Linked DNA regions of Arabidopsis thaliana. The protein of the gene in region 1 interacts with the protein of each later gene in a pairwise test. Each region holds a gene or a part of one and is shown on either strand. Other genes may lie near its edges. The genes, in order: AT2G39100, AT4G01090, WOX12 and MAP70-5.

What was found.
Region 2: the proteins of AT2G39100 (region 1) and AT4G01090 interact in a two-hybrid assay, tested with the Arabidopsis thaliana proteins (one large-scale study listed by BioGRID).
Region 3: the proteins of AT2G39100 (region 1) and WOX12 interact in a two-hybrid assay, tested with the Arabidopsis thaliana proteins (one large-scale study listed by BioGRID).
Region 4: the proteins of AT2G39100 (region 1) and MAP70-5 interact in a two-hybrid assay, tested with the Arabidopsis thaliana proteins (one large-scale study listed by BioGRID).

Annotation. Positions count from the first base shown.
Region 1 is NC_003071.7:16,314,465-16,321,201, reverse strand, and holds AT2G39100 (RING/U-box superfamily protein), read right to left. Parts: upstream 3,847-6,737; 5' UTR 3,741-3,846; coding exon 3,370-3,740; intron 3,290-3,369; coding exon 3,152-3,289; intron 3,045-3,151; coding exon 2,990-3,044; intron 2,851-2,989; coding exon 2,594-2,850; intron 2,403-2,593; coding exon 2,333-2,402; 3' UTR 2,315-2,332; intron 2,208-2,314; 3' UTR 1,815-2,207; downstream 1-1,814. Other genes in the region: AT2G39110 (Protein kinase superfamily protein), read right to left, coding at 1-158, 236-358, 438-701, 797-1,173, 1,414-1,432; APC7 (tetratricopeptide repeat (TPR)-containing protein), read left to right, coding at 3,969-4,037, 4,148-4,216, 4,308-4,358, 4,636-4,770, 4,866-4,928, 5,370-5,479, 5,604-5,688, 5,824-5,883 and 3 more.
Region 2 is NC_003075.7:468,724-476,876, reverse strand, and holds AT4G01090 (hypothetical protein (DUF3133)), read left to right. Parts: upstream 1-2,997; 5' UTR 2,998-3,476; intron 3,477-3,589; 5' UTR 3,590-3,628; coding exon 3,629-5,430; intron 5,431-5,517; coding exon 5,518-5,578; intron 5,579-5,671; coding exon 5,672-5,895; intron 5,896-5,985; coding exon 5,986-6,043; 3' UTR 6,044-6,371; downstream 6,372-8,153.
Region 3 is NC_003076.8:5,878,471-5,887,583, forward strand, and holds WOX12 (WUSCHEL related homeobox 12), read right to left. Parts: upstream 6,301-9,113; 5' UTR 6,092-6,300; intron 4,284-6,091; exon of another isoform or gene 4,160-4,283; 5' UTR 4,133-4,159; coding exon 3,523-4,132; intron 3,215-3,522; coding exon 3,036-3,214; intron 2,124-3,035; coding exon 2,106-2,123; 3' UTR 1,973-2,105; downstream 1-1,972. Other genes in the region: MYB56 (myb domain protein 56), read left to right, coding at 438-601. UniProt on the Arabidopsis thaliana protein: Transcription factor which may be involved in developmental processes.
Region 4 is NC_003075.7:9,654,530-9,662,462, forward strand, and holds MAP70-5 (microtubule-associated proteins 70-5), read right to left. Parts: upstream 5,048-7,933; 5' UTR 4,877-5,047; coding exon 4,816-4,876; intron 4,720-4,815; coding exon 4,634-4,719; intron 4,478-4,633; coding exon 4,412-4,477; intron 4,313-4,411; coding exon 4,142-4,312; intron 4,058-4,141; coding exon 3,731-4,057; intron 3,649-3,730; coding exon 3,502-3,648; intron 3,410-3,501; coding exon 3,338-3,409; intron 3,270-3,337; coding exon 2,838-3,269; intron 2,763-2,837; coding exon 2,611-2,762; intron 2,507-2,610; coding exon 2,479-2,506; 3' UTR 2,123-2,478; downstream 1-2,122. Other genes in the region: AT4G17215 (Pollen Ole e 1 allergen and extensin family protein), read left to right, coding at 1,355-1,529, 1,619-1,896; SCL13 (SCARECROW-like 13), read right to left, coding at 6,689-7,933. UniProt on the Arabidopsis thaliana protein: Plant-specific protein that interact with microtubules and regulates microtubule dynamics. May play a role in anisotropic cell expansion and organ growth.

The DNA.
Region 1 (6,737 bases):
AAGATGTTCTGCTCGTTTCTTGGGCGGTTACGGTCAAAAGGTCGTCTTCCTGTGATGAGTTCATATAAAAAGATTCCGTAGCTCCACACGTCGCTCTTAGCCGTGAGGTGTCCTGTTTGGATGTATTCCGGTGCTGCATAACCAATGGTCCCTACAACCTGTAGATTCATAGTTTGGTAAGACTTCAATTGTTTCAAACAATCAATGGAGACATAACAAGTAAGGCGTAGCGTACCGCGGTGGAAACGTGAGTGATTCCATCTGAAGGACCCATTCGAGCCAGTCCGAAATCCGAGAGTTTTGCATTCCAGTTCTCATCAAGAAGGATATTAGAGGATTTGAAATCCCTAAAGATGATCTGCATATAAGATGAGTATAGTTTCAAGAACATATGAAAAAGGTTTAAAGGCATTTGTGATCATGGATGGAGAAGATACCTGAAACTCCATGCCTTGATGAAGATAAGCGAGTCCTCTAGCAGTGTCTTGAGCAATCTTCAGTCTGGTGGACCAAGGAAGAGGAGTGACTATAAAACGATTGGATAAATGGTCTTGAACACTTCTGTTTTGTACGTATTCGTAAACAAGTAGCCGTTGGATCCCTCTCTCATCATCCTCAGCGCAATAACCGATCAGCTTCACCAGATTCGGATGCTCCACTACTCCCAATACATTTACCTCTGTCACCCATTCTTTATGCCCCTGTTAATGCATACGTAGTTGTTTTTATTGTTGGGTACTGAAGGAGGTTGTGTAAAACAGAAGCAAACTAAAGAGAGAGAAAAAGATTTGCTTGCCTGTAGACCTCTTCTACTAAGTTGTTTAACTGCAATATCAATCTTTTTACGAGAATCTTGAGGGTTCTGAATCACGCCACGAAAGACACCACCAAAGCCACCTTCACCGATCATCAAGGAGCGGCTGAAGTTCTTGGTAGCGGTTTTAAGGTCATCGAGGACAAATACTTTGAGATTATTACTGTGTGTCTCTGAGAGGACGTGCAAGGAAGAAGTAATGGAAGTAGCAGTACTTGTATCTGAATTAAACTCAGACCCTGATCCTCCTCTAGCCATCGTAGCTGAACCAAACTTTCTAGTCTTAGCTTCATCATCCTGAGTTTTGTCTTTGCTGAAGTAGAAACATTTCATTGCCTTAGATGAAACCAGCCTCTTCACTATCCAAACCAGGTCCACATTCCAAGTCAACACAAACAGAAACACGATCAGAGATGAATTAACAGAGATAATCACCAATCATTCAATCCATACCAGATATCAAGTTATCAACACAAAAATCATCACATTTCAACTAGATTCCCTGACATTTGGAAGAATGTAGAACAAAAATCGATATACAACACAAAAGTAGAAATGTGGTAAGAGTGTTGAGAATCAGAAAGGGAAAGAGAAGAAACCTGATGTAGAATTATTCATGAGGATGAATGGAATGCTGTGATGGGGGTCTTCATGATCATGATTGAGAGAGCTTTAAAGCAAAAGAAAATGGTAGAGAAAGAGATAAGAGGAGAAGAGAGAAGACGAGCTCACCATGATCGAATGGGGGAAGTCAAATAGGCAATGGCAGCTGGATTGCCGCTTACCAACCTATAGAAGAAGCCTTTTATAATATTTTATTTTGTGTTACACCCGCTTGCTTACTTATATCAATCAATACCTTAATAGAGAACGCGTTGTTTATTAAAAAAATTTCCCCGTGTATATTCACCATTTAATCTTTAAGGTACGGTTTAGAAGAGAAATTCAAATGAACTTTCCTCTTCTATGGAAGCTTCGTGTAATTTATCTAAAACTATGTATAGTTTTAATTTATTAAAAATTGATAGTCAAATTATAGAAAATATTTAATGTTGTTGAAATAGGTGGTACTCGAAACGTAAGAAAAAATGATGAGGTGAGGAAAAGCGTTGGAAAGAAACTTTGGGGGTGAGAATTTTTGGTATAGAAGAGACGTACATTATGGAAGTAGAGAGACTAAGTGTCAGCTATTTGAGAATCCACCTATAGCTATCTCAAAACTAACTCCACACCTAAACTTGCATCATCTCAACATCTTCCTCCTACCTACTCTTTAACTCTTGGTTTCTCTTACTTGGTCCAGTCTTTCCACTATTGAACTTCCAAGACACCAACAGTCGCGTTGTAAGTCTGTCTATTTACTTCATTTGACGAGAGCATAGTGCTCGGTTATCTGCAAGCGAATACAACATAATGACTTCAGAAAAAAAACCATCGAAGCAAAACAGGTTCCTACTTAGTGAAACCAAACCCACATAATACATATCCTAATTTCTTTACCTGTTTTTTTTACTGCTATTACTCCACCTCATTGTATTCAACCACTGCATCATAAGTCTCCATCGTGAGTATACTCTCCGCAAAACATCTGAAAAATGTTTTCTTTCTCATCAGAAATAGTATATGACCAAAAAACCTAAACCAAACAGATATCAGCTCTATCATCTGTTCAGACTTACAAGTCACTAGGTTTAGGTTGCCTATGTGTTTTCTGTACTACTATACTAAACCTGTAACTACTTGAAACTCTGAAAAAACCCTAGCGTATAAAAATCTTACCTTAGTTCATGCCAAAATATATCCACCTTATCAGACAAGAATTTTCGAAGAGAGGAGACTTCATCTTCCACCAACATCCCGGTCTGCCCGGTTTGTCGATTATTCTCTCTCTCAAGCCTTTTGATGAAAAGAGCTGACGCAAAATGAACAATAACTGAGGGATCAGGATCTCCAAGGACTGCCTGAAGCTCTCTTCTAATCCATGGCTCAATTCTTTCAGTTATCTTTGCTTTGGTGTAATCATTCACCGCCAAACTCTACAATAATCCAAGATGACACAACGAAGCAGGTATATATAAGGCTTCCAATGTGAACATATATCCAATAATGTAAGAGTGTAAACCCCAATACTACAAACATCAAACAGAGAAGAACACATTGTATAATGAAACTTACTAGTTCCAAGCGCCTTGAATGTAATCGAACAGCTCGTAATTGCTTAGTGTATATGCTGTATTTAGAGCCAACACTAGTTAGAAACAACGGCGAACTAATCTAACACTTCGAAAAAGGAGATTGCAAATGAAGCTATAGAGTTAGAATCAATAGTAAACCAACCTAGCTCGCCACTGAAGCTTTCGCTGGAAGATAACAGAATCAGGAACTGAACCTGGTCGTCCAAATGATCTCCGCCATGGCAATGGCCTTGATCTTGAGCTAGAGTTTTCCAAAACATCCCTCGACCTTTGAATTATCCTAATGAAATAATAACCAAGTGAATATAATAAAGAAGTGATTTTTAACTTCATAGAGAGGATCTTAGAGAGAGAGATAACCTCCGGCGATCGGAAGGATTATTCCGATGATAAGTTAAAGTCTCACGATCACGAAGAATTGGTAATTGCTCCTTATGGTATTTTCTAGAAGCAAAATCACTAACGATAAACCAGGAATCAAAACGAGTGTTACAAAGAGGACAATTCCTCTTGAAGCTGCTCCACTTCCGAATACAAGCAAGGCAGTATCCGTGCTTGCACACCGTGATCACGGCGGCGGATCTTCGCTCGGTTAGATTTTCGAGGCATATCGGACACGATTTCCCCTGTAAAGCAGGAAATATTGCTCTCCCTGCAAATTTCGCGATACTTTCCGGCGATCGAAGATGTCTCGAAGACGAAGGCGCCGTGGAGGACGGTAATGGAGGCATGACCGGAGATAGAGATTGTTCGGTGAAGTCGGGCTCTTGGAAAAGTCGGGTTTTAATGAACCGAGATGGATTTCAGATAGATAACCGGTTAATGTCGGTTTGGGTTGACTCGGTTCGAGATTTCTTGTTTCAAAATGAAGAGCGAGCGTGAAGGATCTTTTACTTCATCGCTGCTCCGAAGAAAAAACTTCACCATTGCCACTAACGACGAACTCTCTTGTCTCTGAAATGGAGGTTCCAAAGGAGCAGATCGCGACTTTAATAGAGCATGGGCTTTACGATTCTGCTGAAATGCTCGTAACTTCTCTAGCTTTTAGCTCATTTTGATTGTCTATCTCTTTTTTTCTAAATCCCTAGTTTTCATCAAGAGCTAATGAAATTCTCTCTATATATGCAACTAAATCCAGGGCTGCTTTCTCGTTTCTTCTCCTACTGTTAGTGCCGAAACTAGTCCTCAGCTCAAGGCGGAGAATTTGGTTAAGCTTCTTTCTCCGTCGATATTTTCTATTTTAGTAGCTGCTGAGTCCGTTAGATTGAAGTTAGATTCTTTCTGTGTTTTTTAATCAGATTCTACTGGGTGATGCTTTATTTCATCAGAGAGAACACCGGAGAGCTATTGTAAGTTCTCAAAAGTTTCATTCTTTATGTTTCTCTTTTGCTGTGAAGGAAATGTTACTCAGTTCTCGATAGTTTAGTTCTGCCTCAAATTTGAACTCTATAAATCATTCTCGGAACTTGAATTTGACTGGATTATGATAAAATTGTAAAGATTCTGATTATATGAATTTATGGAGTGAGCAGAGATAAGTTTTATATTTGTATTGCTTATTCTTTTCCTGTGGATTACTTTGAAGTCATCTCGAAATTCTGAATATGTATTCCTTCTTTTTGTCAGCATACGTACAAGCAAGCGTTGCATCATTACACAAGGATTCCGAAGCAAAGCTCCGGTATTTCGAGGAGTTCATTATCTTTATCTACCAGATCATCTGTGAATGCCTCCAGCATTTCTGCTATTAATGAGAACGAGGTAAATAACTGTGTTGCAGTTTCCAGAAAGTGATGTGGTTTGGTTTAATTTCATTGGAGTTCATGTGCATCTTCTTTTTCTAACTTTCCTTTTAGGTGAGATTCAAGATTGCTTCATCTCACTTTGCTCTTAATGAAACAAAAGCTGCGATTGCTGAGGTATGAGTGTCATCTGTTTGTCTGGTTTTCAAGATTTATTTAGTCTTCTGGATTTGTTGGTCTAGAAACTTTGGTATATAGAAAATAAAATATGTGTGTATGAGACGGTAAAAGAGCTGTCTAGGGATTTCTCTATTTCTAAGATTATAGATTGGTTTTGTATAGGATGACTTTTATGTCTTGCTATTGTATTTTATAACCAGAGTTAAGTAACTGTAATTTCAGTGAAACATTCTTGGGCCGTAACTAATGCATTGTTATAGTATTCCTGAATGTGAGTTGAATTTTGTTGCGTTGACCTGCTCCCATCAATGCAAATCCATATTACAAAACAAGTAAACTAATTGGATTCCTTCCAACACTGCATGTAGGTATTAGGGATGATAAAGCCATGGTCTGCTTAGCTATAATCTATTTTTGCACTTGTTATTTCTTTGCCAGATGGAATCTGTCAAGACCAGGAGCTTAGAGATGAATATACTGATGGCAAAGCTTCATCGAAATTCTGGATACAACCGTGGTGCTATTGCTTTTTATAAAGAGTGTTTAAGGTCTGTTTTTCGTTTTCTTTCCCAACATTTCCTAGCATAGAAACACTGTTATAATATCTCACTTTTTACGTTAAATACCAATTCAACACATAGTAAACATATATATAATCTTTAATCTCTGCAGGCAGTGTCCTTATGTACTTGAAGCCGTCATAGGTTTAGCTGAACTGGGAGTTAGTGCAAAGGATATCATATCATCGTTTACTCAGGTGTCCCTTTCTACGAGATTTCTTTCACCACTTCTTCAAATGTGTTTTGCACCTCTTTCTCTCTATTTTGCAATTACCTTTTCTGTGTGAAATCCATACAACTTTGTAATTTGTTGTGTCATTTGTTCATTTCAGACTTCAAATAGAAGTGCAAAGGTTTCACTCGATCAGATAGATCCTACCCGCTGGTTGCAAGTAAGCTTACTCTTTAACAGGATTTACAACGTTGAAAATTGTTTGAAAGTACACTCATTAATCATGCCGCCAAGCTGATTATTGTACGTGAGTTAGAATCTTATTTTATCAACTATTTTCCCCCGAATACGACTTCATATATAATGATTCTAAGAATTCTGTCTTCAAGCTGTTCATGTGTGGAAAGTGAATAAATCGTCTTAATAGTATTATTCCCTTTAACAAAGTAGTGCTTTGATGTTCTTGTGTTAGTAGAAGCTCGACTATTTAACCAGGAAACTAATACTCCACATAACTTTTCTTGGATGGATGTTTCATTGGTTTCATGTTGTAGCATACCTGGCAATAAAATCTATTTTCTTCTTTGTCTTTTTCGGTAATTTTTCTTTGTTTTCACAGCGTTATGTAGAGGCCCAGTGTTGTGTTGCTTCGCATGCTTACAAAGGTAGCTCTCTTTTCTTTTTGGGATGCCTATGCCTACAATGGATGAAATAAGGCATTTAGTTCTTTTTTTTTAACCTTGTAGATTTCATTTCTTGCATTTTATTTGTGGGAAATTCTGCAATCTGATGCTTGCTTTACTGGATATGGTGTAATATTTTTTTGTTACTCAGGGGCGCTGGAACTCTTTGCTGAACTCTTACAACGATTTCCAAATAATGTACACTTGTTGACTGAGACAGCAAAGGTTAGGGATGACATCGACTACGATGCAAACAGAATTTCACCTGAATTTTTCATTTTATCATGACTGACGCTGATTGACATTTATTTCATTTGTATAGGTTGAAGCCATTATTGGGAAAAATGATGAGGCCATAATGAGATTTGAGAAGGTAGTCACCACATGGATA
Region 2 (8,153 bases), on another chromosome or scaffold:
TTATACACTTGATATTATATTTAAGAGGTTAAGGATTTAAAAACAAAAAAAAACAGTTTTAAAATGTTGTACACTCGAATTTCGACACTCTCGTTATTCAATTGTTAAAGAAGTTAGTGTAGAAAAAAAAGTTAAGAATTTTAAGTCAAGGGGTGTATGCAGAAACAATTGTTAGTTTAAGGATTTGTTTGCAAAGTTTTCTTATGATGTGGTACCATCAGGTGTTATCTAACGCGCGTTACTAAGTGCGTAAGATATACTCTCTCCATATATGTACGCCACGTGATAATGGTACAACTGTGTTAGTGCTTGATCCCGTTTGGTCAGTATGATCCATTTGTTTGGTTACTTCTTCCAGTCTTTGTAATACTAGTAAGTTTTCGTAACCACATCAATTTTGGGATCATAAAAAAAGTTGAAATACTTTCACACTACATACTTCACAGACTGTAAATTAGTTCTATCTATATTTTTATCTAAATATTGTTGGGCTTAATATGGAAGGAACGACAAAAAGATAAAATAATTTTCCCAAAAAAATTATTTTTGTTAAGTATAGCGGAGAGAGATTTTAACTTTTTCCAAGATGATATCGGGTTTGAATGATAACCACAATAATAATAGTATAGCTTTGTATAACTTTGAAAGTTACCAATCACAAAAACTTTATCAAAAGTGTTATTAAAAGTTTTATACTCACCTTTTTTTAATAATTTCTTTGTATAGTTCCTTCTAACAGCTTTGCACTATTCCGATAAATCTAACAGCTAAAAATCTTGTATACCTTTTGGTTACCAATCAGACCCATCATATAATGTATAAGAAAATTGCAACTATGCCATCAATCTTGTTTCTTGTCTTTTCATGTTTTGGAGGGTCCATACTCAAAACAACAAATCAATATCGAGTTTTTATGTTTAGTTATATACACTATCATTACTTTCAAAACAAAGAAAAAAGCCTTTAACAAAAAAACAAGTGGGTGTGTATAAAAGTAGATGTCGGACCACAGTTGATAAGAATCAAATACCGAAAGCCTTATGGCTATTATTCTATGTGATAATTATGTAGATCACACATAAAAAAAGTTCACCAGCTCATTACTCATACTCACTTACATGATCAAGTTCAAATTATTAAAATGTAAAAGTCTTCATGTAAACAAATCGGGCCGTTCTAAGCCCATATAATGAAGCCTGTTATGCACCTAAACAAATAGGGCCCTTTTATCAATTAGGGAAAGAATTACGGGCCTAAACAGCTCAGAAGTTCTGTCAATTAAACTCTGTGTTTCCTTAGTCTAATAACTAACCGATAAAATAGGTAGTAAAAAAGTCAACGATAGTTATCCCAAAAATGCAATGTTAATATTTTTGTCAAATCTGATTGGTGTTGGAAAGTGGACTATCTATAAATCCATCTTTAAATGATAGACAGAGACACAGAGTAGAAGACTTTACAGCTGTACGTAGCTTTTTGTATAAACCACAAAAATAGTCAGAAGGCGACCTACACTATGTGATCATATAACACTCCCCATATATCTTTCAAGTCTTCGTTTACGAGGTTAATATTTTTCAACGTTTAGGATCCAGGTTTCTTTTAGATTCAAGTTGTGAATTAGAAAACAAACAAAAGAAGAAGTTTTGAGAGCACGTCTTCTAACATGGAAGCATTAAACTTGACGTATTTTTATGGACTATATTAATCGATATGCTGGGAGGATGATGAAAAAATAAAGAATTTATATATAAATATTAGTTATTTAGGTAAGTATGAAAGATAAATAATATATAAACCAAAAAATTTTTTTTAAAAAAATTAATTACAAAAATGCTATTGAATAAAAATAATTGTAATATTCGGATGATAAGTATATAATTATTTGTTTAATGTTTTAAAAACTATGATATCGCGATAAGTTTATAAATTATTTGTTAAAACATATTTATCGATTTAAAATTGTAAATCAGAATTTTTTATTTATGTATATTCAGCACAATAAAAGGAAATTAGACTTTTTTATATAATTAACATGATAATAATTATAACTACATGATATATAGAATGATAACATGCTAATATATTATATAACAGAATAATATTTATATGAAAACGTTAAGATATTCGATACATGAATAATGTTTACTGTAACGGATAATTTATACATAATATTTACTAATAATTGTTAACGAGGTTAACCTGATGATAACAATGAAAATATTTAGTAACAAAACAATATATGAGACTTTAATTAAAAAAAAGAAAAATACAGAAGAATAATAAAGTAACTTCATTAGTTCTTTTACTGTTGAAATAGTCCACAATTCCTACACCTAATTTTTCAGTCTTCTGAGCATATAAAGTGATATTTTCCTATTTTTATTTACTTTTTAATTGTATTATAATAATATTTGGGTATTTTTGGTTATTATAATAATATCTGAAAATATTATTGATATTTTTGGTTATTTTTATATTTTTACTAAAACAACCGAACCGATCCGAATCCGAACCAAAATCGAACCAAGTTTTTAGAATATCTGAATGGTTCTCAACCTCTTCATATCCGAATAGATTTGATATCCAAAAAAGAACCAAACAGATAGGGATACCCGAATGACCAGACCTAGTATTATTGATATAAAAAAGGTTGCTCAATGTATAATTTCATTTGACTAGCTGGTCTGTTTTCGTACAAACACACTCACAAAAGTACGAAAATAGGAAGTCGTCTTAGTTTTAGAAAATAACTATTGCTGCTTATTGGCATATATTGAAAAATCAAATACTACTAGTAATCGTAAGTTCTAAATTTGAATGTTTTTTTCCCGAGTAATTGAATTGTTCTTAGTAATTAAGTTCACAAATTTGGAAAATTGCGATATCTGAGAACGTATTAATTTACCTGTCGGTAAACAGTCACACTCATGTTTCTAGATTTCGTATATTTTAGTAATAATTTGGTTAGTCTCCTTATCTGCGAGTCAACGAGACCCGGTCCGCTCAACCGTACTACAGTCTAAATTCTAGTTTCACGCGCTTACTTACATTACATACGCGCTCATCTCTTCTTTACTCAAAAGTTTTAAAAAACGAATATCAAATCAACGCTAACAAAGTTTGATTTTTTGCTTCCATCTTCTTCCCCTCCTTAAGTTTTCAAATCTATTCATCAAATTTTCTTTTGTCTTTCCCTTAAGATTCCCGGGAAAGCCAAGGAAAAACGCTAGAAGAAAATTAACATAATAATGTTAATTGTTGCTTAAACCTTCCAGCTCAAGTTTGGTAGTAAGTAAGCAGACATTTAATCCCCCAAGAAGCAATTGAAGAAGACTTTTAATTCTTCTGAATTTTCTTTCCAAAAACCCCTTTTTAGAAAATTGGTTGCATCATAGAGATTGGTTCATTTATTCCCACCGGAGAAGATCATCAAATTCGTCTTCTCACCTATATCGCCGACGACATTCTTCACGGTTCGTTTGATTTCTACCTGTTGGTTCTTCGTTTTATCTGAATTCAATCGGAGATATATGTTTTTGAGTTCGAATTTGATAAAAAATCGAAACTTTTTTGATTTGAATCGCAGTTGGAAAAAAACAAAGCAAAACCCTAGAAATAGTGGCTGATGAGGTCGCGAGGCGATGTCTCTGAAGCAGAAGGTACGAGATCAGATGCTGGTTCTTCAAGAAGCGAAGAAGAAACGAGTCTGAAGGAGAAACACTCAAATTCGCGAGCTGGGTCTCAAAGATCTGGAAAAAGCTTGAGAAATGACGAGCCTAATTACGGATCAGATTCTTCATCTAAGAACACAAGCAGCAGCAACAACCCTATTGAGTATACAGAGCATGAACGAGCTGAGCTTTTAAGAAGGTTAGATTCTATCAAAGATCATCTACTTCGCGGTGGTGGTGGTGGTAATAATGTAGTTGATAAACCTAAAGAACCAGATCAGAATCAGCCTTTCCTTAGACCAGTTCATCTTCATGGTCATGCTAATCATAATCCTGGTCCTTCTTATTACCATCAGTATCCAGAACCTATTCAATACCCTGGACCGGTTCATGGAATGTATCCTCAAGCTTATCAAGATCCTTATGGGTACCAAAGAAGACCACCTCCAGTTCCTAATCCAAACTGGTATCCTCCTGGTCATTACCCTAATCAGATGGCTCGTCAGTATCCTGGAGGTCAATATGTTGAACTTGGTCCTGATATAGTTGAGCCACATTCTTACTATCCAGCTACTCCTGGTAGGTACGGTGACCTGCCTCCGTATAGCCCGGTTTCGTCTCACCATCGTGAAGAGAAACTCGCTACACAGTACAGTGATATGCCTCCGTATAGCCCGGTTTCGTCTCACCATCGTGGCGAGAAACTCACGACACCGTATAGTCCACGTGTTAATAACGGTTCGAGTTTTCCTTCTTCGATGGGCACTCCAGGTCCTCGAGGTGGTTATGCAAGGTGGCCGAGTGAACATGATTCTGAAATGGGCGGTGCTTTTGCTCGTGGGTATGTTAAGAAAGCTGTATCGGATACTGGTGTTCGACGTTGTCATCCTCTTGCTGGTGGTGCTCCTTTTATAGCTTGTCATAGTTGCTTTGAGCTGCTTTACTTGCCTAAGAAGAAGCTTTTGTCTCAGGAAAGGTTACATAAGCTGCAGTGCGGTGCTTGTTCTGAAGTTATTAGTTTCACAATCGTTGATAGGAAACTCGTTTTCTCTTCTGGTAATGAGGAAACAAAACCGGTCTCTCTAGAGGTTGAAGATAGAAACACAACAAACACAGTAGTGATAGAGGAGGAAGTCTCTTCTGTTGATTTCAACAGCTCAGGTAGAGATATTCCACGTAAGGATGAAGAAGAACCAGTGCAAGAACTGAGAAATCATCAGGATACTATTACTACGCAAAGCGTCCGCTCTGAATCTCAACACTCAGATGATGAAGAAAGATCGAGCAATTCTAGTGAACAACAACAGAAGGAGGTCAAATCTGTTCGTCGGCGAGGTAAAGGGTCAAAAGCACCTGAACCCGCTGCTCCTGATAATGCCAGTCTCCTTGAACTTTTTGAGTATTCTAATGTAAACAGAGCTGCACTCGCTTATGGAATGGCGCAGTTAGGTTATGAAAAGCCAGATAAGCAAAAGTCTTTCATGACACAGGACTCGCTGAAACCAGAATCAGTAGCTACAGAGACAGAGGTTTCTTACAATGGATACTCTAACACCGAGATCTCAGAAGATTCAAGGTACTCAAACAGAAAGGGTAGTGAGTACGGTTCGACAGAGATCACAACGAGGTCCTCTACTGATCAAAACGAAGACCAGATGAAGTCATTAGAGGTTTGGGTTAATGGACATCTTATACCAGAAGATCTTGTTAGCAGTGCTGAGAAATTAGCTGGACCAATCCAAGCTGGAAAGTATTGGTACTTCCATGAACTTCAGCATCCACTGTTTCTCTCTTGTTTTTGTTTTTCCCTTTACTCAGTTTCTGATACATGTCTCTGATTCAGGTATGATTACCGAGCTGGGTTCTGGGGAGTGATGGGCAAACCGTGTCTCGGTATAATACCTGTAAGTACCTTCACATTGTTCTCTCAAGTTGATTATTGGAATGGTGTCATCAAATTGATGAAGAAATGGTTGACTTACTTGTTGTTGTTGCAGCCATTTATTGAAGAGTTTAGCCATCCAATGCTGGATAACTGCGCTGCAGGAAACACAGACGTGTTTGTGAATGGAAGAGAGCTTCACAAGAGAGATTTCGAGTTACTTGTGGGTCGTGGTCTGCCTAGAGACAAGAACCGTTCTTACATTGTTGATATATCAGGAAGAATCCTTGATCAAGATTCAGGAGAAGAACTTCACAGCCTTGGCAAATTAGCCCCAACGTAAGCAGATTCACACAAATGATTTTTATTCTTTTGAGATTTTGAGATCACCTAAGATTCTAAAGTTTTAGTGTGTTAAACTTGAAACAGGATTGAGAAAGTGAAGCATGGATTTGGTATGAGAGTTCCAAGATCATTAGCTTCATGAAAACTCCCCCTAGTAACAACTACACAACCAAAATATGATTCTGCTTCTTGTTTCCATCTTCATATTATTTATTTGTTAAACACAACTGTAAAGTGTTTTTTACATCTTGATTTTGATTTTTGGTATTCTTTTTAAAATATCTTTGGGGAAATGTCTGTATGTTTTTTATTGCGACCAGAACCGGTTTAGGGGTTATAGACTGTATACAAACCGGGTTCTCTCGGTACAAGGTTTGTGCTTTGTATTATTTCCATTTTTTTATGGAATGATATTAGTTTGCTCTTAATGACTTTTTTTTTTATCTCTTTTATTGCTCTTTTGTAAGTTGTAACAGAAGCTTCATCGATAACATGGTTTACTCCTCCTAATTCCTTATTATCTCTGGTTTAACTAAATCGTTTATTTAAACCGGTTTTGGTTTGTAGGTTTCTTTCATGTCAGCAACAATATATGTAGGTCATTCGACCATACTCAACAATTCAATTAAACAATGTTCTCCTAGCTGATCTTTCTTTCTTCATGATTAGCTTCTAGGCTTGATTTGCCCTTTCCTCGAGTTCTAGGTGAATTATGGATTGGGATTATCTATCTATCGGTTAGTTATCCGGTTTCATCTTTCTTTCCACTAAAATGTTCATATTGTCTGCTAATTCCTCTCTTGGCTGATGGACTAGTTTTTGCACGTTTCTGAAGTGGGTCCTTCCTAAAATACAAGACAACAGATTATAACTTACTCATGGGCCCAATATCAATATCAATATCAAACAAGAAAGAGAATCTGTTCTTAACAGGCCTCGTGGTCCGTTCGTTTAGTTTTCATGTTTCAATATTTCTTAGAAAAATACAAAATTAGAGTAAGAACAAAAAGATACTAACTAGTAGCGAGCATGAGAAAAACGAGTAAGCAGAAGTTGTCCACTAATAATAAAATTGTGAGGAATCAAGAAATTCTCAATACAAAAAAATTTTAGCAATGAAGAAATAAAATAAAATATTATTAGCAATAATTGGAGTCACTAGAATGTTTCATATCTCTTTATATACTAACACTAGTGTTAGTTCATTCACGCAAATGTTAAAAACCAATTCTACCATTGTTAAACTTATACCAAATATTTAAACTAGTTACCTGCATCATTCTAATAACTAATAAGTCTCATGAATTCACAAACATAGCAATGTTTTGAATAACCCAATATATCATCAAAAAGTGTGGTGCTTCCGTGTTTGCTAAGTTCCAAGATTCAAGAGAAAGGTTGATATTGTTGTAACGAAAGGCTGTGGAGATACAAGTATACCACCTAAGTTGAGATAAAAGGTGTGAGGACCAAAAGCAGGGCATGTGCTTCTTCACATAAATTAAAAGAAAAAAACTCAAGTTATTACTAATATGTGATTAATAAACACAAGGACAATGAGACCATCTGGGCTGGTCCAACATATTTTTGGATTCCTCAAGCAAAGTTGAAAAAAAAAAACTTTTCTGAATTTTTTAATCAGAATTTCACTATCAAAAGTCATAATTGTAAAAAACAAATCCTGAAATATTCTTTATTCCATTTCCAATATATATTGCTGTCACAAAGAAATCTACAAAAATATTTGTTATAACTTAAAAGAATGCCCAACAATTTAGCCTATAATCATATATGCTTCTTGGACAAAAAAAAATCTTGGAACAACAATGCTAATTAAATTTTTCTTTTTTTTTTTCTTACACAGAGCTAATTAACTTTTTCTTTTTTGTTGACTGTGGTTAACATAATTCCAGGGTGATGGTATATTCAATGTCGCAGTATATTCAATGTTGCATGGTGTGTGAATAGTTGTACTATAATATTCCCTCTTTTCATTTTTATTTGATATTTTAGGAAAAATACACATATTAAAAAAAATATATTAAAATTGATATTAAATATATTATTTTTTTGTGTTTTACAATTTTTTATTATTTTAAACCAATGATTGAACTATTAAAATTTACAATTTATTAATAATAACTAATAAATATTGAATAGAAAATTTACAAAATCAATCTTTTTAAAACAAATATTTTTCCAAAAAAATCAAATAAAAAGGAACAGAAAAAATATAATATGACAGTTCGAAA
Region 3 (9,113 bases), on another chromosome or scaffold:
TTCTTGAGAAGTGTTTTCGTGAATCTAACTATAATGATCTCGGTCGGTTGGTCGAGATCGTATTGCAATCTTTATTGGGTGTATCGTTGATCATGATCGGTTTATACTTTAACCGGTACTTCCAAATATCATTTGTGGTCTAAATTTAGCTTATTAGATTCCAGTCTTGTTAATTTTTGAATGTTCAAAGCATATAAAATGATAATTTAGGCCGACATGTTGTATAACCGACGACGAGTGACCACTTCCTACACTTTTTCATATACATGGCAATAATTATAAATTTGAATGACTAGAAAAGAAAGAAACTGTTTTTACATCGTAAGAGTACCTATAGGCATAATAATATAAGGAGGTGAAGTACTATTGTCACGTTACTATTTCAATATAACAAAATTTCACGTGGGTGCTGAGAACTTATTTTTCTAATTTTGCAGGCAAAGATGGTCAGTGTGTGCAGAGAGCAGAAGTAAATGGCATATATGGTAAAAAGATGGACCATCAAAATCACCACACAATCTCAGTCAGTGAAAGAAAGGTGGAGATGAAGATGAGGAGTGGCTATTACTACTTTGATTTTCTTGGAGTTGGAGCTTCCTGATTAATTAGTTGCAGAGCTAGGGTTCAATGCTGAGGAATTGTGAGATAAGAAATGGCTTTAGTTTCTTCTATTTTTCCTGGTTAATTAGGCATGTTTGTTTAACATCTTAATTTGGGTTTTGGAAGAAGTAAGCGGTATGAGGGAAAACTGAAAACAAAAACAAAACCTAGAAGTAAAATAAAAAGTTGAATATATAATCAACCTCTTTTCTGTAGAATTAGAATAAGTGTTCATAAAATATTGCAATTTTCCTTACTCACACACGCAAATTTAACATAGATTATGAAACAATAGCAGTAACTAAAACCAGCGAGTTATTTTTGTTGGTAAATTACAAGCTTTGATCATAAACCTATTGCATTTTATAGTGCATTACATGAAGGATGTTATCTGCTATTTTTGGAATGTCACATATATAAATAATTCAGGAATTTCTAAGTAAATAATCAACGTGGGAAATGAGTTCTTGTTTAAATTTAAAATCTCAATTACTCGGCTCGGCTCGGATCCCTATTATCGGATACCAGCTACATTGTTAAGTTGGGCCTAGGACTACAAAAGAAACCCATATATAGACGTACCTTTCATTTACAAAGGGTCCAAAAAGCTCACATAGAAGTGGGCTTACTCGTTTCTTGTCGTAATTTTGAACTTAACCCTACCCTTCTTTCTCTGTTCAAAAAAAAAAAAAAAAAAAACCCTACCCTTCTTTCATTATTATATCAAGTTCACAAAATTGACATCCCCAAGAAGAAAAAATGGTAACTAGCGATCTGTGTCGAGTACTGTATTTGTACTAGTGTACTTTACAAATTGCTATTCATATATAGAAATATACGCACTTTGTTAGTGATATGATTATGATTCGCATTTAAATCATTATATTTGATTTTTCTGTTTAAAAAAAAAATCATAATCATATTACTTACACACTTTACTTTTGGCTCTCTCATTCCGTCATTCATTTAGTTCTTTTTGTTCGTTTAATTGTTCACTTGGTTAGTTAAGAAATTAAAAATGTTCACTTGATAAGATATGTTAAATGTTATCCTCTAGGATAAACAGAAATAATAATCCTCGATCGAGAATGGTATAAAGTACCTTAATACCTTTCATCCATTGGATAAATAGATTAGATCAGCTATGTACTAAGATGATCTATTTACATCGAAAAATCAAGATTTTTGTACATACCAGTTTAATTTTTTGGATTATCTTTAAATATATCAAGTCCGAGGGACATCTTTTTTCCACAAACTAGATCTCTAATTAAGATTTGGCTGTGGAAAAAAAAAATATTAAGATTTGGCTTGTTTTGATAGATAAGGTTTGTGTTCAGGCGAGCAAGAATCGACAAGAAAGCAAAATATCTGACGAGTCCAACATTTATTTAATCTTTTTATTATTACTTATTTGTAATCTAATTATACACGATAGACACGAAATCAATAGAGGTAAAAAAGAAAACAATCGACCGTATATGTTCCCACATAAAACAGCCAGTTCATGTCTGTCTCGGTACCTGTCGATGACAAAAGGAAAACAAATAAAAACAGATTCTTAATTAGGGAATAATTAGAGCATTTTAATTCTTAAAACTGCTAGTTCACTAATTACTGATAATATTGAAAAATGAAAACCCTAACGAGAAATGGTTTAACATCATTTTATATATCCACCGTCTATTCTTTTTTCTTCTTTTTTTGAGCAAAGACACCGTCTATTCATTTGCCAAGAGAGAATATAAATTCCCAAGGTCTCTTCGACCAATGAACTCAATATTTTACAAAATTACTCAAAAGTGGAGTTATTGGTTCTTGTGTTTTTGGCTATATTCTTTATTTTTAAAAATAAATAATATATACTACATATTTATATTTATCAAAACTTGGACCAAATAAAAAAGGTCACATATATACATCCATATATATGAGCTGCATCAATCCGTAAAGCTTAGTTAAATCACAAAACTTCAGTTACAGATATTAATTTCTACAAAAACGATATTCATTTATTACATGCATAAACCGACAAACATCAAATTGATTTATATTTTATTATATTTTCTGCAGAAATATTTTTATGTTATAGTTCCAGAGAGTGAGATGGGTTCTTGAGGTTAATTTCTGCAGACATTAGGACTTGACTATTTATTAGGCTTAAGACCATTTTCTACACACTTTAACATACTAATTTAATAGGAAATACACATAATATCTTATGGTATTTTATTTACAAATATAACTATGGTTTGTTGGGTCAAACAATGGTAAAAATAATGAATTTAATCATGAGAAAATCGTTTTCGGATGAACAAAAAAAAAGTTTTAAACAGAAAATAGGTGTGGAAATCATTAATGAAAATATTAACCATGAGCATTTTGTTATCGTGTATAAATTAACAATAAAAAGTGAATTATATATTATTAGTTACCAGGAAATAAGTTTGTCCATGTTGTAAAGAATGCATCAAGAAACCAAACTCATCAGTGGGAAGAGGAAGACCAGAGGAATGAAGTAACACCGAATCATCACCGAACATTGTTTTCATGTCTATTGCTCCTTTTGTTACTTCCATAGGAACTCCGTTTATAAACACCGTCATAAACCCTTCTGGAAAAAAAGAAAAGAACAATAGATACAAGAACAAAAATAGAGATTTGAGAATTAGCTTTCAACATACAAAGTTAGCCTAACATAAAAATTTGGTTTTAAACCCTCATAGAAAAAATGGTTGGCTCTTTCTTTTTCACTTTCAAAATTTTATTTATATAAAAATTACTCATCCAAATATTTATAGTTTAAATGGTTTGAAAAATGTTGATTTAGTTGGAAAGTATCCCGGTTTAAGATCTAAAAACTCAATGTGTATTACGGTGTTAAAAAAAAATATGAGCCATGCAGATGAATGAATGATTCACCTTGTTCGTATTGGGAGTTGGAGTTTTGATCAGATGGGTTTAAAACTGATGCAGCATTTGAGCTATGATGCTGCTGCTGATGATTATGATCAGATTCATGGCCATACATTTTGAAGAGATTCTCCATACCATTGTTGTTCTCACACCCACCACTTGAAGAAGAGAGGCCGAGGAAAAAGGAAGGGATTTGAGATGACGACGATCCATTAAGGAAGTAATTAGCTGATAAGTTGCTACAACTTCCAAACCCCAAATCAATCTCGTTGTTGCTGCAAGGATATTGATGCATGCTCATGGCCGTCATGTGCTGGTGGTCTTCAGCTCCTATGGAGGTGGCGGCTGCGGTGGTGGCTGCTAAAAGCTGCCGGTGTCTCCGGCGAGATCTTGACCGTCGGTTTTGAAACCAGTAGAAGACGTTTGCGTCTCCCACAGCACCGAATTTCTCAAGCATCTTTCTTATCCTCACCGTTTCATCTTTTGGTGGGTTAACAGTACCACTGTTGAAGATGGATTCGAGTATCAAGATTTGCTCCGGTTTAGGTGACCAACGTGCCCGGACTGGTTCGGTGGAAGTGGAGGATGGGCTATGTGAAGCACCTTCTTGATTCATTTGCTATCAAGATTCTTGTTTTTTTTTCTTCTTTTGGTTGGATTATGGATTTTAAGAAAAAGAGAAAGGAGATGTTGTGGTTACTTGAGGGAAGATTTATGTAATATGTATTGAATATATACAGAAGAGAGATTCTCAATGAGTTCTTTTTTGTTTTCCTTAAATATTAAGTTACACTATTTTAGTGCTCTCACTTAGAATTAAATATTATATAGGACACGGTCGAATATGTTAACACGTATTCCGAGAGGCAGAGGGTTAAAAACTGTTCTTGTATATCATTTGATTGTATAACAAAACTAACAAGAAATGCTTCCACCATTGCATTATTGGACCAACTCACAAACAAACCCTGGTTAACGTTTTTCTCAGTTTTGAATTTACAATACAACTTTTATCTGTGTTCTCGGATTGATAATATTCACACCCCAAAAAATGTATAAAATTTGCAAATTCGTATAGCAAAATATGATTATACATGCAATTGTGAAAACACCGGTTATTATTTGTCTTGCTTTCTGCTGTAGATATGATCAAGATGTTTAGCAAGTTATTCATAAATTTATCTTTATTAAATAGCAAATAATTGTACAAACCTCGGGCGATCTGGTTGCTTTTTAGATATAAATGTGGACAATAGATTATCGACGTCATGCAACAGAGTTACAGAGGCCAAAAAGATTTTGTTTGTCAAGTAGAACTTGTCTTTGATTGAGATTTTGATTGATATGACAAGTTTGGGAATACCTCATGCACATATATAACAACATTAGCCGATCAAAAATCTATGTACGTACTACGTAGAGTCATTTTTAAATATTTAACTCGAAAAAATCATGTAATAATTAATATAATAGAATTTATTTAAATATATCATAGTTGAGCGAGAATTTATAAACTAACAATAAAAATGACAAGAAATAGATACTTAGGATTTTGTTTCACCTTTGAATTTAGTGTTCCAAGTTACGTTTGCGTTGTATCTGACCAATGACCAATGAAAAGTACTTTACTAGTATATCCACGAGAATTACTTATTAGTTCAAGGTGGTACAGCAATCAATATATCTTTAGTCCATTACATTTTAGAATTCGTTTGCGTTTATTTTAGAATACAAATTAAATACTGGATTAAAATGGAACTTAAGTATCCTGATCACGTCGCTATATGATCGGATAGACCTTATTTTAGCTGGTGTATATTTAAATCCATTAAAATATTATACGATAATTTTTCAGAAGAAAGATAAAACAGCTAAAATTTTATAGAACTTTTTCGTTACGAGCAGATGTAAAAATAATAAAATCTAACGTTGTATCTGTTTCATGATTAAAGCATCATTGTCTTCTTCTTTTTTAACTCAAATCATTGTCTTTTTAACGTGTTTTAAACTATTAAATCCAAAACTCGAATTAAAGAAGAAAATAAAAATTGTAAGCTATGTCACGAATCAACTCTATAAAAATTGATTTGATAAAATGATTTATACTCCTTTTTTGACAATAACATTTAACGTTTGATTTTAGAGTACAATATTAATAATATTTATTTTTTAACTACCGCCTTTTATTTGATAATAAAGCTGTCCGTGTACCGTATGTGTACGTATTGGTTAGTGTGCATGTACGTATGCAAATATAATATACGTTAAAAGTTTTAAGAGTGTTGAAAGATACAAGAGGCGACAATCTGTTTCTTTCAGATGCATTCTGGTTTTTTGACGATTTATGTTAATTGCTTAGCTGTTTCAATTTTTTTTTAATTCTCTAAAAAAGTTCAAGTATCTGTATATTTAATTTTCATACTTTTTTTTATTTTAGTAAGATCTTATATCTTACTAAAAGTACATATGTCATGTGTGTTAATGTTGTTATTGTGTGTTTACATCAATATTCAAACATGCATATAATATATGCTGATATTAACAAAAAAAAAACAAGTTTTCTTTGTACCTTTACTTTATCTTGTTTTTTTTTTTTTTTTTTTTCACATGGCAACCTTTTAAAATAATAACCATCAAGTTATCCGGCGTGTTTTTTTTTTTTTTTTCAAAATTCTCTAATCTTAAATTGTTAGTGATATTTTTGGTTAAGAATCTCTAATGAATTTTTTTTTATCCGTGAATAGGTACTGGTAGTCTAATCTTGATCTACAACAACCTAATCGGATACTCATAAATTAGACCTACCACTCTTAATATATACACACTTTTACTGAAATTTTTATAATATTTGTTTTGCTAGGTTTTAGAATTCCCTTTTAGAATTCATGCCCATGAGGAAACAGCCAAACTACTACTAGCAGTAGTGTGAACTAATCATCCCGTGACTTCTTTAAAATAAAAGGAATCAAAACAGCTAAATAACTTACGTCTGCTGCACAGCTGTTTTTTTTTTTCTTTTTTTCTTACATCATGCATATATTGTAAGCGGTAAAAGATTATGCAATTATTTAAAAACACATTTTTATATTACCGAGTGCGACTGATTTGATACAACTGGGTATTACTTGTCTTTTATAACTTCTCTAGCTCCTTGTCCTTTTTTCTTCCTTTTTTATGTTACGTTCTATTGAATTTCTTAAGGGCCATTGTAACCATACACAGACAAATTATACGATCTCTATCCACTTCCCATCATCCAAAACCACAATCCCAAAATTGCTTTTGGGACGTTGGAGACTTGAAGTAAAACCCAATATATACATATTACATATATTGATGCACTTAAATCTTTTATAACTAACTACGGTTAATCGATTAGTTTTTTTTTCTGAACACGTGTTAATCGAATAGTTATGAGCCAAAATCCCTATATTTTCTCGTTGAATTTTTTTTTGTCTTCATGTCAAGTGGAATCGAATTAGGAAGCTCAATAACGTTATAATGTTTGGAGGATCCGAAAACTCGCCACTGGTCCAAAACTCACTTAGTAATGGACCTATATATATGTTTTGTTAAACTAAACAGATAAATTGATATATTAAAATCCTCAAAAACGGAGTATCATATAATAAAATAATACTTATTAGATTCATATATAAGACGTCTAGGATTAAAATACAAATGAGTCTCTAGCTACTCTGCAGTTAATATCTTGCCCACAATACGTCATGACGTATTAGAAAATAAAAAATTGACATTGGTAAAAGTCTTATAGTAAGAATAAAGTAGACCCCTAGGGATCAGGCAGAAACTGTACGAGGATTCACAAAAGTTACCTTTAAGCCACTCTCTTTGTGGTCCTGAAGACCAAAATCTTGTAAGATTTTGAGACTTCTTTCTTCAGAAATCTTTCTTATGTGGTCCTGCTCTGTAACATGTACGGTACGGACTCTCCCATTATATACCTGCATGATGTTACTAAGACATACCCTTTATTATAATATGTATGAGAAGATGTGTTGGACATATGTAGTGTGTAAATAATCACTAAAGGTTCTGCGTTTGTATTAAACAATATTTATTCTTTAGCAATACAATTAACCATTAATAACCAGAAGAAAAACTAATGCTACTGCAGAACGGCAAGCATAACCGTGACAAGTGCATTTGATCACTTTTCGTGTGCTTTCGTGAAAATAAATTTAAAATCTTTAAAATCTCAAACTGTATTCGATTCTATGCAAAACTTGTAGTATAAAATAGCTTAAATGGTTATATATATATATATATATATGCATCATTATGTTGCATAAAGAATATATAGAGCAGTGTATATATGAACATATAATTAACAAAAAAAAGATTTTATATATGAACATATAATTAACAAAAAAAAGATTTCAATCAACATTGTAAGTTAGTTTACACAAATAGAGCTGATGCATATGAAGCAAGTTTTGTTGATTTGGCCGGTGAATCTGCAGAGCACTCATAGGGGCACTAAAAGTAACTAGAAAGAAGACAAAATTAATATAGGGGAAATAGAGAACACATATGTCATTATAATTTTGATATGCATGCATCCTGACAATACACATGACGATCGCTTTTCTTTTTACTCTATCTGAATATAGGGAAGTATACACATTTTACTCATTATCTAATATTTATAGTCAAAAGCCAAATTTTTTATTCACTTCTCACTCCACTTTTGCACACAATCCTTAATTAATCCATTTTATTGTACGGACAAATATTTGATAGAGTGACCTATCACCTAGATATTTATCTCACCCACAAACATAATATTGTGTGCAAAAAAAAAAGGCCGGTTCTTTTTTTATCGAAGGACGATTTTCTAGCATTTTTTCACCAGGTTTATCGTAAGTTAATCATGAGGCTATTATTCCAATGATTTTTTTAGGTTTTCAGGTATTCCACAAACATAATATTGTGTGCAAAAAAAAAGGCCGGTTCTTTCTTTATCGAAGGACGGTTTTCTAGCATTTTTTCATCAGGTTTATCGAAATTAAGTTAATCATGAGGCTATTATTCCAATGATTTTTTTAGGTTTTCAGGTATTCCACAAACATAATATTGTGTGCAAAAAAAAAGGCCGGTTCTTTCTTTATCGAAGGACGGTTTTCTAACATTTTTTCACCAGGTTTATCGAAATTAAGTTAATCATGAGGCTATTATTCCAATGATTTTTTTAGGTTTTCAGGTATTCCACAAACATAATATTGTGTGCAAAATGATTTATCATATTTTGTAAGAAAATAGGTGCTTTTTGGGGTGCAAAGTGTGATATATACATTAAACTTTGGCCAGGCCAATTACAAGAGAAGTCAAAGACTCCTTTGCTTGAGAATAGGCTAAACGATTATAGCTACGGTCTACGGAGAGTGAAAGTGAATGAAATTACATCAAGAAAATAGGTGCTAACATTTAATATATGTATAACTAGAAAATAAATTTTGGCGACGTACAAATTTGTAGATGTATGCGAGTCTTCAGCTAAAAATGCTTACTAAAAGGTGTTGGACAGTAAAGAGGCCCCATTAAAAGCTGGGATGCTTTACTTAGTTATAACTTAG
Region 4 (7,933 bases), on another chromosome or scaffold:
TATACATTATAGTATTTAGAAATAAGATAATTTCGTTATTAAGATGAATAATTGAATATAACCTGAGTCTAGAAGTTTATTAGTAAAGAATCTGGACCGGCTATTCTAAACTTGGTGCTTGGTGGTCATTTTGTGGATTTGGTTCGGATTTGTGTACCGTACCGTTCACCTAAACCCCTTGCTTAGTTATTCCTTTTGGGTTTATTTGTGTAACACTTTTGAAAACTATTTAAGAAATCAAATTTGTTATTAATATGTTTATAGTTGTGCAACTGAAATGAAAATTTTAATTAATTAAGATTTGATTTAAAACTATTGAATACATTTTGTATGTGTTGATATAATTTGTTTATTTTTATTTTTATTTCTATCATTTTATCAACAGTTGTTGGTTAATAATATCTTTTGTAAGAAATTATCTATAGAAAATAATTTAATTAACAAAACTATATATATTGCATTGATACGTCAACAAAAAAAATAACTCTACTTTAAAAATAACAATTAGATATTTCCTTCTTGGTAACTATCACAATTACATAACAATGACATATACAATTATATATATATATAACAATGAAATATACAATTATATATTTATATATATATATATATATATATATTGGCTATAAATAATAAAAGCCTGATGCACTTTTTAGTTAAAGATAACACTATAATTATGTGAAATTGTTGATCTTTTTGTGTAGTTATAATTGAGAAAATGCAATAAATAGAGATTGAATGAAATTATAATATTGATAGGTCATCATAGACACATCATTCAAATAAACATTTTTGTATTTATCCTTGGAGAGATTATTGATAACCAACCCACACAAGAACTCTCCCAAAAAAGTTGTCTTTGGGACAAAGACAAATGTCTAGAAGAAAAGAAAAACAGTTGGGGCAGGCTTGATTATTTGTCAATTGTGACTTTAAATTTAGGTTAGACTTTGAAACATAATATTAAAAAAATAAAGACATTTGTAAAGAAGAAACGTCGCATACCGTACTGATATTTGACCAAAGATTGATCAAAGATTGATCAAATTTATTAACTAGAAGAAGAAAAGAAGAAGAAGAAAGAAGGATTAGGCAAACAAGTAATTTCTACTATTATATAAGCAAGGAGATATATAATTAAGGAGTCATATAATTTGACCAAAAAAGATAAAAGTCAAATTATGGAAGAGGCATTTTTACTTATAAAAAAGCAAAATAAGGATCTCATATTCTTAATTTATTCAACTAATCCATTCATTTTTGTGTGTGTATATATATAACACATCCTTGCTTGTTCCATTTCTAAGCCAGTTGGTAGTTTTTCACATATATACGACCTTGAAGATTAAAGATGAGGTTCTTGTTGATGAGCATGACGTTGGTATTAATTGTGACGTTTGGGGAAGCATTTAGTGATAGATGGAGCAGAGATGAGATGGTGGAGATGGCTGGCTACGGCGAACAAAAACTCTCCTCTGTTCTTCTCACCGCCTCTCTTCTCTCTTCCTCCTCCTCCCCTATTCATGGTACGTAACCAGTTGGTAATAAGTGGATTGGTCCGTATTCCTTATATTATATACTACGAGATTTCTAACACATCATCATCATCATACAGGAGCTACTATTGGCTTCAAGTGCCATACTGGACATAGGAGGAGATCTAAATGGATCAAAGCTGTGACAAATGAGTTGGGGCAATTCGTCATCGATCTTCCTTCTCACCTCCACGCGATTCCTGACTTAGACAAGGCTTGTATCATTAAAACACTCTCTGTCCCTAAACCGTATCGATGCTCTTCCAAGATTCACAGAGGTATTCAACTCCTCTCCTCTTCCAACGGCTCTCGTGTCTATACAGCTGGAAATATCACCTTACAAGAGAGCACCATGTAAAAGAGACTGTAAATTAATCTTGCTAGGAAAGATCAGTCCTGACTTTATTTCTATATGGTTCCTTCTCACTTCTTGTGAGAAAGAGAGATAGTCTTTGTAAATCTTGTTCTTCATGCTCTTCTTGTATATAATAAAATTTATGTTTTCTTCAAGCTTGGATCTTCTTGCTACTACAGAGATCATACGATCCTGTAACTGATTATGATATATATATTAGATGCAAAGTTTGTTATGTTAGCCTAACAACCAAGGCAAGACCAAAAAATCTGAGAGAAGACATATATGGTTATGTATGACTTTGAGAGAGAATATGCATGTTTTTGTGTTTAGCTGATTCTGATTTACTTATAGGTTTCCAAGATAATTGCTAACATTCAACTAATTGGTAGGAGAAGAGAGAGGAGTTTTGTGTCATCATCTGGAAACATGGCTTTGCAATCCGATATACATAACACACATACACATCTCTTGATCTTTAGTTTTCACTTTCTTATAATCCATCATCCAATACTCAATATGTACAGTACAACCTAACATTAGACCATATTCTTTAGTATTCAATCCCATAAGCTTCTTCTTCCTCTACTGGCAACGTGGATTGGGTATGCGGCTGCACAACATAGCATAAACATATAAATATCAACTGTCTTGATGTTTGACTATGTATACTTCTCAAAAGACAAAGACAAACAACAAAGGATGTGATGACCAAACCTTCTCGGTAGTTTTGCCTTTCTACATAGTTTTGACTCTTCATTCAACATTGCCAATGCGTTTTCCTTTTCTCTCGCTGCGGCTTCCCTCTTTGCCTTCTTTGTCTCAACTTCAATGGCTTTCGTTAGAGCATCCACCTTCTTCAACAACATCTAAAAACAGAGGTATCTTAAGAGGTTTCATATAGTTGAGGATCTTAAACAACCACAAGAAGATGATGAAGTTACCTTGATTTCTTCATTTTTGGCATTTATAGTACCCTCTTTACTCTCACATAGCTTCCTTAAAGCAATCACTTCCTTCTGAAGCCTGTCATATAAAAACCCTGAAACCATATCTTCAGAATAAACATTTCCATCTTCCTCTGTTTTCCTTTCGCTATCTTCTTCATGTTGATCAGTCAATCCGTTTGCAGTAATCTTTGAATTCTCCATTTCATCACTTTCCCCAACTCTGTCAATTGGCTGATTCATAGCATGGATTCTGCCTGTAACTGAGCCTCTTAGCTGAGAACTAGACCTTTTCTTTGAGCCACCACCACTGGTCAAGAATCCTAAAATCTTGCCAGATTTTTCAGTCTTTGTAGTTGGAGAGACGAAAAACGTGTTTGGGCCCTTCAAGCCATCTTCTATGGTTTTCAGCCTAAGCTTTAACCTCTCCTATAATGTTTACTTGCATTAGAAACTACACTTTTTACCAACAGAATATTAACTACATAAGCAATCACCTTTAGCTGGGACTCAGCCTTAGCGGTTCTCTCGGAAACAGCGAGTTTATCTTTCAATTTCTGCATTTCTCCCTGCACACAGACACAAAGTTCAACACTAATGTTTCCCATATAAGCTAGTCAGTGTGTATTAACTGGATGTGTAAGTGAAAAGCAGTGAGTACATGGAGAATCCTTCTCTCTTCAAGCCATTGCTTTACAGGCATGACTCTATCGTTCTCATCTTTCCACTCGTTAGCAACTGCAAGTGCCACTCTACTTGCTGACACTTTGACTCTGGCTAGCTCTCTCTCTAAGGTTCTCTTCTCATCCTGGTAACGATGAAAAAATCATGTGATTTTCCTTTAAAACAAATGTGAGAATGAAGTACAAGAAACTAAACAGAACACTTGCATTGAGCTGGGAGATTTGGCGGCGATAGTCTCGAACTGCATTGGCGGCTGTTCCTCCTGCCAAGATCGCTTCCTCCAGTTCTACAATGCTTTGGGAGAGCTTCTCAATCTCCAACACTTTCTGGCGGTTAATTTTCTCAAGAAACTTGTTCTCATCCTGGCATATCTCAATCTGTCGTCGAAGTTCAAAGTTATGGTTCTGGACCTCTTCAACAATCAAAGCACGTTCAAGGGCACTTCTCAAGATTCTCTCTGCTTCAAGAAGCGCCGATTCTTTTGATTTTGTTAGACGTTCCAACGCTTTCTTGTCCTCTTGAAGTGCAGAAATCTGTCAAACAGTAGCATGTCAAGAAAATCTGGCACTTCACACTGATACAAGAAAGAAATTTGAAATACATATAGTCTTAAGAACCTCATGCTTGTGAATCTTGATCTGAGATTCAAGAGGAGCTATGATGGATTCTAGGGGTAGAGAGTCATCGTCCTGTTGGTGAGTGTAAACCCTCCTTAGTGCTTCTTCTGCAGCGTCCTGTGCCGCCAATGCATCTTCCTTCTCTTCTTCTAGCTTCTTCCTCTCCAACTCCTACAATCATGTCACAAGCTTAACTTATTCTAGTCATTTCTAATGTTTTGACATGAGTCCTTCACAAAGATGGTCTATAGTATTTGAGCAAAACCTCACCTTTTGGTCAACTTGATTCTCGGTGGCTCCAAGTTTCTCCTCCAACTTCCTCACGTTTTCTCTAAGCTGAAACAACACCAAGTAGCATCAATAGAGCTCAAGAAGCTCAAAAAGGACAGTTTGAATATGGAAAACATTGATCAAAAAAACTTATAGGTAAGATTGACTTAAAGTTTTTGTAGAACAATCACAAACAGAGTTGATGATCATCATGCATGTTACCTCCTTAAAGACTCTGTCTTTGAGCTCTTCATTTGTTCTCAAAGCCTCAACTTCAGCTTTAGCAGCCAAAAGCTCTTTCTCTTTTTCTGCAGAGTGGAATTAAAAGAAAGCAGAACAACCTCAACATCAAGCAAATTACTCATAAGGGTTGATGAACAATAAACAGAAAGAAAAATAAGAACCTTTAAGCTGGCTTTGCAGAGAAGAGGTGTCAGATACAAAAGGGTTTTCTGCTGCAGTCATTTTGTAGTCTCAACGGCTCCTCCTTCTTTGTTGCAGTATAGAAGATGAGTTTTGGTCTAAGCAGAGGAGAAATGGAGTCGTTTAATATATACACACACACTTTCAGAGAGAGAGAGAGGCCATTCCTTAAAGGAATTGACGTTGAAAAAGAGAGAGGGAGAGAGAAAGAGAGAGTTAAAAACTTACTAACTCTTTTTCCTCATTCTCAAGCAACCGTCTCCATTTCAAACCCTTGAGACAGTAACCAACCCTTCCCTCTTCTTCTTTCACTTTCATTACCCATTTACTAAATTCATATTCATCCTCCCTTATCTTTATTTTCAATTCTGAAATGCTTACAAGTTATTGACTTGTTCTGTTTCACTAATTATCTTCTTAGTTACACCGAGCTTGTCCTTAACATTTGGTTCATCATCATAATTACCTCATTCATGTTTTTCATGTTCCAACATTAGTGGTGTAGTTAATATTATTTTAAAGGGACACGGCGTGAAAATACAAAAAATAAAACAGCTACCACAAATGGAAATTAAAATAAAGAGAAGAGAATATAATCCAAAGGAAGTTGGAAGGAGAAGCAGCATATGACAGATATAAAGACACTAATCATAAGGATAAAGATAATTTAAATGATTGAACTAATTTCGTTTGGTGAAAACCCTTTTCTTTCTTTCCTGTTTCTTTATAATAAAAACCTATATTGTATCCCCTTTTTGTCTTTATCGTTTTTGATAAGATTATATGAATGTAGGTAACAACAGATAACAATTATGATAATCTTGAAATAAAACTAAAGCTTAATCATCTTCTAAACATGTATTATCCAAATGATTTTTGTGTTGCAGTTTGATTAATAGAAAGAGTAAGAAAGAAAAGTTGAAAACTTGGAAGAAGGAAAGCAAAGTGTGAAAAGGTGTTGCCTCAGCAATTAATAGCTTAACCGCAAAATATTGCACAAACCAAGCTTTCTTTGTATTAGTGGAAGTCACTCAATATCTCTCTTTGAATTATTAAAAATTAATTGGGATTTTCTCTCTTCTTTGCTTCCAAGTCTTAAGGTTTGGTTATTATTAAATCAAACAATGATAGAGAATTAGACAAAGAACACTTAGCAAGTATAATATAGAATCAACTGAGGTAAATGACCAAATTTGGAGAGAAATTAGGTGAATAACAACAATTAAGTCAATGGCAATATTTTATTTATATGAATATGATTCCCTAACAAAAACTAAAATCATAGATCCAAAATTCTAAACTCTTAACACATAAAAGTAACATGTTAGGGCAAAAAATTACTCTCCTGAATTTTGTTACTGAGTGCAAAATACTCATTAGTATATTGTTATTAAAGGCAATAAAGGAAGCTTGAGCCTTAGAAAAGTAAAGAATAAAATGAAGGCAATGACCTGTACTTGTTCAATCCATGGTTTTGTGGGTTGGTGAGCTCCTTTTTAAGACCTTATCAGAATTCAGAACCCAATCTGACCTGTAGATTTGTCTCATATTTTGTTACCTCACGACCTTTGTTCAGCCGCCAGTTGACTTATACCGGTATATATAGAAGAAGATCATAAAATGACCTAATCAATGTTTTGGTTATATTTCATTACTAGCAACCCACCCACAACCACATGACAATTTACAAGAGAAAAACAACCACCAGGTTTGGTTTGTATACATATATAACTTAGGTTGTGTTACAACTTAAAACATCATTGCACATCCTAAAAAATTTACAGCGACAGATGTGTTTTTGTTGTGCTCTTCTTTATCCACTCAAGTAACCATCATCACTATAACTTACCCAATCTAGTTTGGGTTTGGCTTCCACACGGAACATGTAGCCATGGGTCGTCTCTTCCAGAAGAGGTAGAGCGCTCCTTCATGGCCTCCCAGTTTGTAGTTTTTGTCATAAGCTTTCAGCATCTCACTCGCTGCAAACGCTGCAGATGTGCTGACCGGCCAACCCGTGAACCCAGCCATCATCATTCTGACCCTCCATATCCCCAGTACCTCGTGTCTCTCTACTCTCTCTGACTCCTCACATGCTATCATGTTCACTATGTCTCTTGCTACACAGTGTTGTTCTGCGCTGATTCTCTGCTTATCATCCCGTGGCCGTGCTGCATCTATCGACTCAAACATCGCTGTGTAGTAATCCAGTGTTTCCACAAACCGTGACAGGAATGGCGAGGTGTTTGTGTTGGATTCTTGCTCTACTAGAGTAACCAGTTTTGGGGAGAGGCTCTTGATCAGATGCAGCAGCCTGTCTCTGTGATTTTCAACACTTACGCTCTCGTCTGGCATGTGGTGTAATACATATGGGAAGTTCACAACAACAGCAAAGCCAGGTTCCAACCCGAGATGTTCCCGCTGCACCTTGCACCCAGACATGATGGCATCGTGAAACTCAAACGGGACACCACATGACTGCGCCAAAGTTGCAAGCCTCTCACCTACCAAGCTGAGTCCTCCCCCACGAGCATAGGTGGACTGTGAATCATCCACACCCGTCACACGCAGCAACGGCGGCCCACCAGGGCGTTTCGCAAGCTCCTGAATCAAAAACATGTATTGTGATCCCTGTGCAATCTGAAAATCGATAATGTGGACTCTGGTTTCCCCAGCTATTGCTTCCAAGATCTCAACATTCGCAGTTGTGTACGCGAATTTCCAGTAGGGGCAGATTTCATAGAGAACACTCATGTAAGACATCAGTTCCCTTCCCGTTGGTTCATTGCATTTCAAGGATTTGTATATATTGCTCCCAGACCCCTCAAGCCTCGCTCTAAGCCCTTCTGCCATGTAAGTGCCTAGCCGTTGGATCGGACTGCCTGAGACTGACACCATCTGTTCCAAGACATCAAGGAATCCATACGCTGTAGCGAAATCCCCATCAGCGACTGCCCGAGCAGCCTCCACCAGCACCTCTTTCAAGTCCAACTGTGGAGTCAAAGCCAAAAGTTCATCCCAGTTCCACGACTTCCCAGCAGCGGGGCTAAAACCTGAGAATTCTTCAACTTTTGTATCACCACTCAGCAGCGAGACCTCAAG